Linked DNA regions of Danio rerio. The protein of the gene in region 1 purifies or fractionates together with the protein of each later gene. This does not show direct contact. Links are inferred from orthologs where the notes say so. Each region holds a gene or a part of one and is shown in the gene's direction. Other genes may lie near its edges.

Region 1 (7,876 bases):
CAAGTTCCAAGTACGTTATTTATAATGTTGGTAAAAAAAACTCTCTTAATTCTCCATCCAGTGGGATCTGCATGATGACAGGTCTTTAATACTTGGAGTAGATCCTCCACCATGCTATATTTGTTAAAGCATTTAACTATCAAGCATGCTTAATTGGAGCGCATTTGCTTTTAATTCTTTCTAATTAAAACATCTTTTTATTCAGTTAAATGTTTTAGAAGCTATTTTAGCCTTTTTATTACAAATAGTTTTTAATCATAAATATATTGTAAAAAAAATCTTGCAATAAAAGTAGTTATAGAAGCTGGGATGACAAACAAACGTTCTTCATTAATTCTTTCTCTTCATGGATGTGAAGAACTTTGATCTGTTATGTTTTTAGTCTAGTAATTAGTCTCTCTGTTTAAATGGTGTAGTTTTGGAATTTTGCCTCTGGAGCCAAGCCCAGGAGATCCAGCGTACCTGCAGAGTTATGGTCACAGTGGAACTGGGATGGAGCCACCTCCTGCGCCTGGCCCCCCAAAGAAGGTAAGCCTTATTTATTTATAGCAGATTAGTATTAAAGTACTAGTGTCTAATTGTAGCTAACTATCTTTGTTTTTATTGCTATAACTGTAAGTAGGGCCAAGACAGAATCTGCGGTTATTCTTGCTATTTCTGTGAAGAATTTTGTAAAAAATCGGCGGATTTGTGTGGAATTATTTTGGGAGCATCATAACTAAAAATTTAATATGTGAAATAAAATATCTTTTATTTAATGTTTACAATGCAAATCCATCAAGTCTCTCATATCATATATCTACTTATAGGTAGAAAATATTACTTTACAAACTGTATTGTAAATCAAATGAACACTTTTTTTTATATTAGTCAATATTATTACTGAAATTTATTTAAAAACTGAAATATAAATTGTCACATTTACACATTACATTACACATTTTTCTGCATGCACAGATTCCTTTGGGCCTAACTGTAAGGCCTTAAACGTGCAGTATCAGTTGTTGTTGTTGTTGTTTAAGTCCCTGATCAATAATTTGCACATCAATATATTTTCTGTATTTGTTAGGGATATGACATTTTTACATCTTGAGATGTGGGAGTCTGAGCAAAAAATAATATAATCAATAAATTAGTTCTTTGTAAGGAAATGCAACACACATACAGCTTTATTTAAAAGACAAAATTAGTTTTCCCTCCTACCATTTCTACAAAGGTTTTCAACTGCAGAAACTTTAAAGAAGTGTAATTTTACATGTAAATCCTTTAAGTCTTCAATTTACTAAAATATTGTCTTGTAGGTCTGAATTTTTTTTTAAACGGGTCTTAATCTTCCTTTGTTTATTTTGTTTAAGCTACCCAATTGATCCAACACGTATTCAATCACCAACAGTACATGGCAAAGCTGTTCATAACTAATATTATACCAGTCTGTTGTGCATACCTTTAGCTTTTAAAGAGTTTAAGTTATGTTGAAAAAAAAAATGTACGTATTCTACTAAGGTCTCCTTGTTTTGACACATTATTTCAAATTTGTGGCTTAAAAATCTGCTGGGCTATTTAAAAAATCCTTAGCGTTTTGCCTTTTATATATCTGTAATTTCATTCTTCATAGTTTTAATGTCTTAAAATGTCTTAATTTTCTTGATGAAACCTGCAGTAACCCTGTTTAAAAAAAATGTGTGTAGCTTTTTATCAAAAGTAAGGCCTGATTACAATTTTACCACTCAGGCCTTCACCTTACCCCTACCCCTTGTTTTGCCTGTTCACGTGAAGGGGTAGGGGTGGAGGTGTCCCGATTCTCTTTACCTTGAAGGCATAGGGCTAAGGGGAGGGGCTACATATCCCTACAAACTGATATTTTTCAGGACCACACTCTAAACCAGTGGGTTAGAAAATACACCATATAAAATGGCGTCATGACTGCACACAGAAGTCAGGACATGCACAAATTAGTATGTTTTTTTTTTTTTTCATTATTTTGAATTTACAACAAACAAGCATATGTTTTAATACATTTATAACGCAGTTCATGCTTTATTGTCATGCTTTAAAAAAAAAGCTAAAATAAAAACTGCTAAATTTCGCTATCTATAATCTCTAATAATAACTCTTGTACTGCGTATGTTTACATAGATGAATCTGGCCGCTATAATGCACAGTACAGTTATGATCTATTACCACATTATATCGTTATGATGACATAACATATGCCTTTAGTGATTTCCAGAAGATAAATACCAAAAAATAACGCAACTGGAAAAACTACAGCAGTCACAATCGTCTGATCTCATATAAAGCAAGAGATCGCAATGACGTATGATGACATGTGCAGGTGCTGTAGTGCTGTCCCGTTTCTTAGGGGTAAATCTTAAAGCCCTTCGCATTCACACCTGATTTCAAGGCCTAAGGGGAAGGGTAGAGGTAAAAAAATAGAATTGGGCTTGGGACAAAGTTTTAGATTTGATCTTATAAAGTATTCATTGTTGATGTGTGTTTTTTTTTTATTGTTATAAGCCTATGTGTTATAGAAAAGTGTAATTTAATAAACCGTTTGTAAACTGCTTTAGTCAAATTGCAGTGGCCATTTAAAGCTGATAATAAACTCTGAAGTCTCGCTTCCATCCCTACTAAATTGGCTTGTGAAGTACACGTAATGGCATGATTTTATATCTTATTTTTAACTGTTTTGGGTTGTCTGTAGAGGGCACTTTGTTTCTCTCTCTGTTTGTAATGCAGCTGTCAACATTCTGAATTCAATTTATGAGATCATGTAAATAATGTCTTGAAAATAAATTCAATAATTAAATTTTAATTTCAGGCTGTCAGTAGAATCAGAACAGTGGGGACGAAGTCAGTGTTTGCACAAAGTGGCAACAGCAGAGAGGTCATTCCAAACCCCTTTATCCAAACTCAGACTACTGCTCCACAGACCAGGTACATCACCACACATTTATACAGGCAGTTTATGGCTGTAGCGATGGCTTCTGATGATCTCTCTTTCTGGTTTTTAGTACTACACCGCAAGTGCTGAGCCAAACCATTGCTGCTCCCCCAAATGTGCAGCCACGGCGGAGCTCAAGACTCTTCACCAGTGCCAGCTCCACTGCCAAGGTAATCTTTTTACGCATACAAATTCTAACATGCACTTCTTAAAACCTTTTAAGGTACAGTTCACCACAAAATCATTATCATTGTTTGTTCCAATCCTGTGTACATTTATTCGTTCTGCTAAACACAAAGGAAGATATTTGTAAGCATGTCAGTCACCAAACAGATCTTGGGACCTTTGTTGATATCTCATAGGAAGACATTCACTCAAAGTCTTATGAATACATTATCAATGTTTAAACCAAACAGGAGAACAGTAAGAAGCTGAAAATGAAGTTCCCCACCAAGATTCCTAACCGAAAGACCAAAACGAAAACGGGTAAGGGAGGAATCACCCCATCTAATCTGAATGAGAGCATCGAGATCCTCAAGTTAGATTCATCCTTATCAGAGGGCAAAGGCAACATCAGTTCACCGCAGTTCCAGGCTTTTAATCTACAAAAGGCTGCTGCAGGTATCTGACGATTCTTCACCTTTTTTTTTTAAGGGGTTAAGTGAATTGCAACTAACAACGTATTGTTCATGCTGCTCACAATTACACGCAATGGAGACTGTTCTTTTGATTGAAAACTACTTAAACCTTAGAAAATTAAAAATGTGTAATCTACTGATCATATACCATAAAATACAAATTATATACTGAAAAAAATATACTGTTTGCAAACAGACTAAACTCAGTGATAAAACTCAGGGATGCAACGATTATAAATTTTAGTTGTAAGATTATAGTCTAAGCAATAATCACGATTATACATTCAGTAATTTCAAAACACACATTTCTCTTTGGACTTAAAAAGAAGTGAAAGTGAAATTTTAAACTGAAAATAAATGACAGAACAATGAATAAGTAAATAAGAACAAATGTAGTCAGAGGCTGCTAAACCCCTGTCTGAAAGGCACTTTTGATCAACTATATTATGAACATGTTTCGAATTTATTATTATTTTTTTTCTGGAGTAGAATATTTATATTCCATACAAAATATGAAGCTAAATGGTTCTTGTCATGTGACTTGTGGTGCGCTCACGCAATTCTTTCACAGGGCTCGAAATTAACCTTTTTTTATTGGTAGCAGCGGTGCTCCTAACTTCAGAAATTTAGGCGCACCAGGCAAAATTTAGGAGCACCTACCAACAATTATGAGCACCGTTACTATTATATTAAATAAGTTTTGTATTAACAAATGTATTGCATTTGAAATGAACTATAATCAAAACTAACAAACGAAAAACAATATGCATGAGCCCACTGGCTCTGCACGCACTGCTTGATGTGAATGGGATGAACAGAGTTAACAATAATAACTTTGCTGTTCTCATGGGTGGTTTCTGACATTGCACACATGATTTTAACATATAACTAATTTGCATACGTCATCTTAATAGCAATAACGGTCTTTCGATGAGATGCAGTAGTTTAATCTCAGTGAATGCATGCTCTTTTGCGATGGTGAATGCGGTACCAGTCGCACGACTGACAGCATTGTGAGGATTTAATGGATGAAACAACGTTAGAAGATCTCGTGCTTAAAATGTGTTGATGTGGCAAACACGGTTACCTGAAAACTGTCCAACCAGCTTTACAGTGAATGCTTTCATCATTTTCATAGCGGACTTTAACCCACTGGAAGTCTTGTATCCACTCTTAGAAAAAGTATAAATAGTGGATTAACATTCACTCCATGATCACTAATCAGATGTGCCATTATTTGTAAGTTCAGGTGATTTCTAAAACAAAATCTCTCAGTGTTATTTTTATTGTCTCTTATCCAGACCTTTATGCTTTCGTGGCTGTAGCTCCCGGTCATCTGAATTGAGTGATTGACAGCTGATATTAACCAATCCATTCGTGTTGTGTTTTAGAGCAGGAGGCCAATCAGAAGAGCTTAAAGACGGGGCAAGCATTGTGGGATTTGTTTACTGCAGCAAGTTCACATGTCAACTGTTTTAAACTTTTCTTGAGCGCTGTGTTTGGTGCAAAGATGCCTTCTGCATGAATTTTCTTAAATACGTGCATGCGATTAACATTTTGCAGTGAAAACTGGTCGCACGGCAACAATTTATGCACTCGCCCAAATGCTACAAAATATATATTTGAAGTCGCATCGATAAAATTTTGGGCCCATATGAGACCAATTTCAAGCCCTGTTTCAACTATGTGCGCCTGAAAAGCTTGAGCGCGTTGTGTGCACGTCACTCCCAATATGCTCGCAAAAAAAAGAAATATCGAACTTTAGCACACAAAAGATGCGACATGTGAACGGCCCTTAGTTAATATCCTCAGCCATAGCTAATCCATTGTACGTGCATATTAGCCATTGTGTACAAGCTCTGAACTTTAAACAAGCGCACAGTTGCAGGAACGTTTAGTTGCACCAGTTTTGTTCTTTGCAGAAACACGATGTTGAGAAACTTATGTTTAATTAACCGTGACAAATTAAAGTGGTTAATAGTGAAAATGGTTAATCGTTGTATCCCTACTTGCGTTTGGTGCTTTCATTTCTATAACAAATTAAACAAAATAAAATTACATGGTGAGAACACTGTTTTTTTTTTTTTTTTTTTTTTTTTTTTTAAAGCATATTATCATAGTGATCCATGACGTTACAGGGTAATTAAAACAAAATTGTGGTGATAAGAAGAGTATTTGAGACTATATACTTTCTTACTTTGATTATAGTTTGAATTATTCCCATTTATTTGTAGAACAACTTTACAGTACAAAACTAAACATGCTGCATTATCCTGAACATTATAAGCATTTCATTGTCGTAGAGACTTATGTATAAAGTTGAAAGTACATTATTTATATTATTAATTCATGCTTTTTTGTGTTAGATTTTGAGCTACTACTTAATTTTCTCTTTGGGCTACTTAATTTTTCTCTTTTCTCTTGTATTTGAGCAACACCCTGAAGCAGGTTGCTGATTTTGTTTGCGGTTTTCTTTAGACGGGCTGATGACCCTGATGCGGGATATTGGGAGGGGATATCTTGCTCTCTGCTCTTATAACTGCCGAGAGGCCATTAACATCTTGAGTCAGCTACCTTCACACCATTACAACACGGGCTGGGTGCTGGGTCAGATCGGGCGAGCACACTTTGAACTGGCTGAATACATGCAGGTGAGTCTGCGTTGCAGAAATGAGGTGAAATCAATTACCAAAGGCATTCAAATTATAATGGCAAGTAGTGGAAAATGTTTTTGTTTGTTCTCACAGAAGATATTTTTGTCTGTTTAATTAGGCGGAGAGGATTTTTTCAGAAGTCCGACGTATAGAGAGCTATCGAGTAGAGGGTATGGACATCTACTCAACAACACTTTGGCATTTACAAAAGGATGTGGCACTTTCTGCCCTATCTAAAGACCTCACTGACATGGACAAAAACTCACCTGAGGTAAGTTTATCAAGGCAGTAATGCAATTATTAGTTGGAATATTATTCAGTTCAGTAAATCAGCTGCTTATCTTTTTGTTTTTCCACCTCTTTACAGCCCTGGTGTGTAGTTGGTAACTGTTTCAGCTTACAGCGGGAGCATGACATCGCCATTAAGTTCTTCACACGGGCCATCCAGGTGGACCCCAGCTTTGCTTACGCTTATACACTATTAGGGCATGAACTGGTTCTCACAGAGGAGCTGGAGAAAGCCCTGGGTTGCTTCCGCAATGCTATACGCCTCAATAAACGTCACTACAATGCCTGGTATGTTTGTTACTTTACATGACACCAAAAAAAAACCATTAAATAAGTCGTTCACTCACAATCATTTTACTTATCCAGTTGTCTGACAGATAAGTACCATCTGCTATTTCAGAAGCAAAAAGACTTCATCTTTCTGTCTCTTACCACAGGTATGGCTTGGGAATGATTTATTATAAGCAGGAGAAGTTTAATCTAGCCGAGATTCATTTCAAGAAAGCTTTTAGCATCAATCCTCAGAGCTCTGTGCTACTCTGTCATATCGGAGTGGTGAGTAAATCAGCCTTTATGTACTTTTTGGTTATGCATAAAACATAACATGATAATCACTGTTTAAAATTTCTGATAGGATTTTTGCTGTGCTGCATCTTCATATTGTTTCTCATGTACTCTGTCAGGTTCAACATGCTTTGAAGAAATCAGACCATGCACTGGAGACCCTTAACAGAGCCATTAGCATCGACCCTAAGAATCCGCTATGCAAATTCCATAGGGCCTCAATTCTGTTTGCCAATGAAAAGTACAAGGTACTGCTCTACTTGTACTATAATGTTAGGTGCAGTGAGTGATTTCTGAGAAACTCTGTTATATTTGAAATCTGACATCAAAGCAAAAATACACCGCCCCTTAATACTTAAACATGCAAAACAACAGGCAACCGCTACTGCAGAGTGAACCATATGCAGTTTAATAGTTCTTTACGATTGTTGCTCGTCAATCTATTCACCTTATTCTACGTGTATGAGCGAGCACAGCCGTTTGAATCTTTTTGGCTGGAGACTGCTGGTCTCATTCACTTCCATTCATTTTTGTGACATTAAAAACCGTTCTTTCTTCTGCTTGATGTTGCAAACTGATCTTTTTTTGTTTTACTATTCTGCTTCGTCCGTGTTGTCATGAACATACTTGCTTATAGAGGACCGTTTATTTGCCGTTTATTATTCCTAGTCATTTCTCCGATAGACGACTGAATCAGAAGTTCTTAAACAATCGCAAAAACGAGTGCACTATCACATTTAAGAATAGGGTCAATATCAGGGGTGCTCAAACGTTTCCTATGCATGGCC
Region 2 (5,688 bases), on another chromosome or scaffold:
CACACACACACACACACACACATTATGGCCAATTAAGTTCATCCAATTCAGCTATAGCGCATGTCTTTGGACTGTGGGTGAAAACGGAGCTCCCAGAGGAAACCCACGTGAACATGGGGAGAACATGCAAACTCCACACAGAAATGCCAACTGGTCCAGCTAAGACTCGAAGCAACAGTGCTAACCACTGTGGCACCTGTCCTTTATATTTATGCATACTAAAATCAAACAGATTAATGGTGTACAGTTATTTTGGACCAAGTTCTTTCAAGTACAATTCTGTGTGCCTGGAAAGAATATCATCCTCAGATACCTAGAACAATTTTTCGTTGTCAAATCTTCATGTCTTGGCATGCATAAGTATTTATCTGTGTACCAGTTTCATCATGTTTTATTAACACCTTTTCTCTTACGTTCACAGGAACAAATGAATCGCATGTCCTATAATGAGAAATCGGATATATGGTCTTTAGGGTGTTTACTCTATGAACTATGTGCTTTATCGTAAGTATAAATGTATTCTTGTTCTCCTCAGTTTTTTTAATACTGTGTACATTGACTGAATTTAAAGGGATAGTTTAAGCCAAAAAATAAAAATTCTAGCAATATTTACTCACAATTCACTTGTTCCAAAACTGTTTGAGCTGTTTTTTTCTGTAGTACACAAAAGATATTTTGAAGAATGTTGGGGAAAAACTTCAACAGTATGTCAAAGGGTGCTTTCCCCCCCACGTTCTTAAGAATATCTTTTGTCTTCAACAGGTGAAAGAAATTTAAAAGTATATAAAAGTTTAGAACTGATTGAGTGTGAGTTAATGAGAAATTTTATTTATTTTTTTTAGGCCCCCATTTACAGCATACAACCAGACAGAGCTGGCTCGAAAAATCAGAGAAGGCAGATTTCGAAGAATCCCATACCGATACTCGGATGAGCTAAACACACTGCTTTCAAAAATGCTCAACTTAAAGGTAAATATTGGTGAGGGTAAAGTATGCAACAGTCTGAAAGTAACAACACCACTCATTGTCTTCATTGTGAATTCAATTGTATTGTATAACAGCTGAATTTGTGGAACAACTGTATCTGTAGTAAACAATATCCATGACCCTGTTTTTCACAGTGGAATATGGGATCTCCACCTTCATCTGCAAGCATATTAATTTTATTTTATCTGTGCATTTATGTTTCTACTCTAACATTGAACTGTCTTAAAAGTTAAGATTAAAAACACTATATCTACCTTCTACCAAAAAGTGCATTTCAACACCATTTCAAACATGTGATTCAATTATTTACAATATAAAAGTATGCTGTTTGTTCACAAAACATACAGTACATTCACCGGCCACTTTATTAGATACACCTTACTAGTACCGGGTTGGGCCCCTTTTTGCCTTCAGGACTGCCTTAATCCTTCGTGGCAAAGATTCAACAAGGTTCTCGAAATATTCCTCAGAAATTTTGGTCCATATTGACTTCATAGCATCACACAGTAAGTTGCTGCAGATTTTTTGGCTGCACATCCATAATGCAAATCTCTCATTCCACCACATCTCAAAGGTGCTTTATTGGATTGAGATCTGGTTACTGTGTGGACCATTTGAGTACAGTTCACTCGCGGTTTAGGACATGGCATGTTATCCTGCTGGAAGTAGCCATCAGAAAATGGGTACACTGTGGTCATAAAGACATGGACATGGTCAGCAACAACACTCGGGTAGACTATGGCATTGACACGATTGCTCAATTGGTACTAATGGGCCCAAAGTGTGCCAAAAAAATATCCCCTACACCATTACACCACTAGCCTGAACTGTTGATGCAAGGCAGGATGGATCCAGGCTCCAGGGGTTATATGAGTTACTGTTGTCTTTCTATCAGCTGGAACTAGTCTGGCCATTCTCCTCTGACATTCAACAAGACGTTTGTGCCCACAGACCTGCTGCTCACTGGATATTTTTTTATTTTTCAGTCCATTTTCTGTAAACCCTACAGAAGATAGTTGTTGCTGAAATTCCCAGTAGATCAGCAGTTTCTGAAATACTCAGACCACCCTGTCTGGCTCCAACATCTATGCCACATTCTTAAATCACCTTTCTTCCCCATTCTGATGCTCAGTTTGAACTGCAGCACATCGTTTTTAACTTGTCTACATGCATAAATGCAGAGTTGCGGCTATGTGATTGGCTGGTTAGAAATTTGCGTTAAGGAGCAGTTGGACAGGTGTACCTAATAAAGTGGCCAGTGAATGTAGATTTGTTTTCAAAGTCAGTGCATGTCATAAGTGAATTAATTAGCTTATTTAATGCAGTTTTTTTTTTAGCTTTATTAACACCTAAATTGAATGAGTTTGGCACCCTGTTACTAAACTTACCGACATGTCTTGTAACTAAAATACAACAACTCGCAGTATACAGTTAAACAGAGTAACTTAACAATGAGTAAAGTTTTCCTTTACAGTTGCCCATGTGGTAATTTGTAATGTTTTAACTAACTACTATTCTACCAGTCACAGTTTTGCATTAAGGGTATAAAATGGCATCTTGGCACGGTGACATTACATTATCATTTAGCATCAAATTAATCTGCTTTTAGTAACTTCCTTGGCCAACACTGGTTGAGTAACATTACAATCTCATGACTGACTGATTATTTTAGTGAGATGCCATTTGCTTCAGTAAGTTGTACTGTTCCCCTAACCTACTTGAATGATCATTTTGTGGTTTTGTCATTTGTGTTGTATCTGTAACTACTTTAAATAACGTTCACATTCTACTTTATCTCCTCACTGACCGCAGTTGGACAGCCCAGAGGCCTGAAAGCTCCACTCAGTTTTCAATATTAACTGTTTTTAAAAAAAAAATAGAATTATAAAGGTCATACAGATGATGAATTATAATTAATAAGTTTGATGGTTTTATGCTTCAAGTCTGCATAACGCGGCAGTTAAGATTGTTCTTTTTTCCTATATTTTGACATGCTTCCAAATGAAACTGTCATAAAATGAGAAATTAATGTCAGGGAGTGCTTGATATCATCCATTGGGAGGTGGTTGGAATATGGACATTAGTAAGGACAAATGGGTGAACCAAGAACCGCACTGATTGTTTCACCCTAAATGCATTCCATGTGATCAGAAGTGAAGTCATTTTAAGGGGAGAGGGTAGGTTATGATATTTTATTAAAGATTCTGAGAGAATTTTTAAGAAATAATCTAGTGCACATTTGCATTGTTATAGCAAACACAACTATAAACTTATATAAAAATAATATTACATTTTGATTCCATGCCAACTTTATAGCACATTTTAATTTAAGATTATCAAACAGATTGCTCTGAGGATGTCTGCCTGCATGTTTTAGCATATAATTACCATTTTCATACATTGGCTGAATGTTTGAAACATGTTTAACACATCGTTAGCATGTATTTTTACTTCAGATGTTGACTACTATATATTGCAGAATGTGTTTGGGCACATCCTGACTGGTGGTCTTTTTTTTTTTTTGTCAGGACTATCTGAGGCCCTCTGTGGAGTCCATCCTGCAGAATGGTTTGATCTCCGGTTACGTGGCCCTCGAGCAGAAGAGGCTCCAGGAGAAACAGCGGCGCAGATCAGATGAGGCAGAGCAGCCCAAACATCCAGAGTCACCACTTCTGGCAGAGCTGCGGCTTAAAGAGCAGATTCTCCGAGAGCGAGAGCAGGCCCTCAAAGAGCGAGAGCAGCGGCTAGAGCGTAAGCACACTGTTGTTGGCCTTCTGAAAGCTAAAGGGACAGTTCAAACCATTTTATTTGTGTTATGATTTACTCATCCTCCACTTGTTCCAATCCAACATTTGTTACTTTCCTTTGTTAGATCTTTTCAGGAATGTTTCAAAAAATGCCCATAGACTGTTTTCACACAGTCTCCATTTTAAAAGCAAAATCGAGGCTGCGGTGGGAAGAAACCCAAAAGTATTGCCTGGAGCTGCACAGAGATGTTGTGTAGCTGGCTGTAAATCTTATGAGCGAAGAGAAAGTGACACGAATTTATTATTTCACCCCCTTTCGAGTGACCTGAAGGTCTGTTCTGAATGGATACTAAAAATAAAGTTGATGAACTAATTCTTTCACTGTATCAGACCTATCACAATACTGAATTTTGACAGTGAAAAAATTTTAAGGATTTAAATTTCCAGCTAATAGAAGTGCTAGAATGTTCTTAAACGCAGCTGATTTGCCATTAGTGTTCACTAGTGCTCAACATAAATGACTGTGATTGGCCGTAAAGGTCATCAGTTCACTGCTGTTCACTGATGTTTACCGAGTGCAAACACAAACTGGCAATCGACTAATCTTTACGGCTTTAAGACACTCCAGTGTTTCTATATTTTTGTTTGTGAGATACTTTTACCATCTCACTCGTGGCAAGTTTAGGCGAAGGAATGTTTACCAAGTAAAACTCAGACAGTTTAGTTTATTCTGCTTTAAACCTGCAGGAAAATATCAGGGTTTGCTAAAAGACAGTTTATTTTACCATCAATCAGGGTCAATAATGGTAGCCTAGTACAGATTTCAAAGAAAAAGCCTAATATTAAAAAAGGAAACATAAGCTGGACCACAACAGATCAGCATCAAGTTTTAGATTGTGCCATCTACTATATACAGTAGACTTACAGGTCTGTTATTTTTACTAAGGAAGATACATTATTTGAGCCCCAGAACTATAGAAACTGTATTAGGTTTTAAAAAAATACATAAAAAATACGGCACAGTATCGGGATTGGGTCTGTATCGATCGATACTCAGTTTTAGTATCAGGATCGGATCGTTTCCAAAAAATGGTATCGGTGCATTCCTAGTAGACTGTTAGGTTGGGGTTAGGGTAAGTTGACATGTACTAGCAAAGTTTCTTATATAGTCAGTAAAATCTATGTTGAAGGAGCAGTATCAACAGATATTAATCAGACCGGACCATCAAAATAAATTAAACCATCAAAATAAAGTGTTACCAGTGGACTTTCAATGAAGGAACGGAAATTGGCAGAATCCATAAGTAACTTAATTTCTTTTCAGAAGACAAATAAAAGCCCTGTGGTTTTGGAAAAATTAAAGATTTTCATTTTGAAATGGATCATTATCATTTACTTGCTGTTATCAAATGCTACATCTAAAAATATTAATTGTCCTAATTTACCCACTAATTAACTTTTTTTCATTTCACTCATTAATCAAACCCACAAGAATTTTGATCCTCCTCACACAACTGAAGACTTTTGTTAGATTTGTCTAGATTTGTTGTCTGTCAGGTGAGCAGATTTGAGTTTGACCATATTTGATGTGCTACAGTAAATCCATCGATGTTTAAATGGAATTAATATCCCCAAATAAATCTATTCAAGTGTGTCTTCAGGAGACTTTAAAGGTCCTGTGAAACAAAAAAAGTTTTTTAGTTGTTAGTTAGTTTTAAGGACATCAATTAGCTATTGTTCTCCAAACAGTGACATAGTTTTCCTTTAAAAATGTTAATTTGATATAAACATACAAAGCTTGAAGTGTCACCGCAGCCTAAATGCATCAACGTTTTTATCATGTCACCTCATACTTCAGTTACTCATCAGATCTTCACCAATCAAATGCTCTCTAGTATCTGTCATGCCGGCCTGCCCCCTTCAAGACGCTTCTCGTTTGCTTTTCATTTGATGC

The links. Proteins that work in one complex are often made in the same cells at the same time.
Region 2: the proteins of cdc27 (region 1) and nek2 purify together in Homo sapiens (affinity purification with mass spectrometry; 6 studies listed by BioGRID and IntAct, with this or other methods). This does not show direct contact. The link is inferred for Danio rerio from reciprocal best matches to the Homo sapiens genes CDC27 and NEK2.

What each region holds. Positions count from the first base shown.
Region 1 is NC_133178.1:20,779,741-20,787,616, forward strand, and holds part of cdc27 (cell division cycle protein 27 homolog), read left to right. Parts: intron 1-416; coding exon 417-528; intron 529-2,821; coding exon 2,822-2,937; intron 2,938-3,014; coding exon 3,015-3,114; intron 3,115-3,360; coding exon 3,361-3,565; intron 3,566-6,060; coding exon 6,061-6,233; intron 6,234-6,354; coding exon 6,355-6,507; intron 6,508-6,603; coding exon 6,604-6,812; intron 6,813-6,961; coding exon 6,962-7,079; intron 7,080-7,207; coding exon 7,208-7,336; intron 7,337-7,876. UniProt on the Homo sapiens protein: Component of the anaphase promoting complex/cyclosome (APC/C), a cell cycle-regulated E3 ubiquitin ligase that controls progression through mitosis and the G1 phase of the cell cycle.
Region 2 is NC_133195.1:15,124,064-15,129,751, forward strand, and holds part of nek2 (serine/threonine-protein kinase Nek2), read left to right. Parts: intron 1-421; coding exon 422-504; intron 505-842; coding exon 843-969; intron 970-3,515; coding exon 3,516-3,738; intron 3,739-5,688. UniProt on the Homo sapiens protein: Protein kinase which is involved in the control of centrosome separation and bipolar spindle formation in mitotic cells and chromatin condensation in meiotic cells.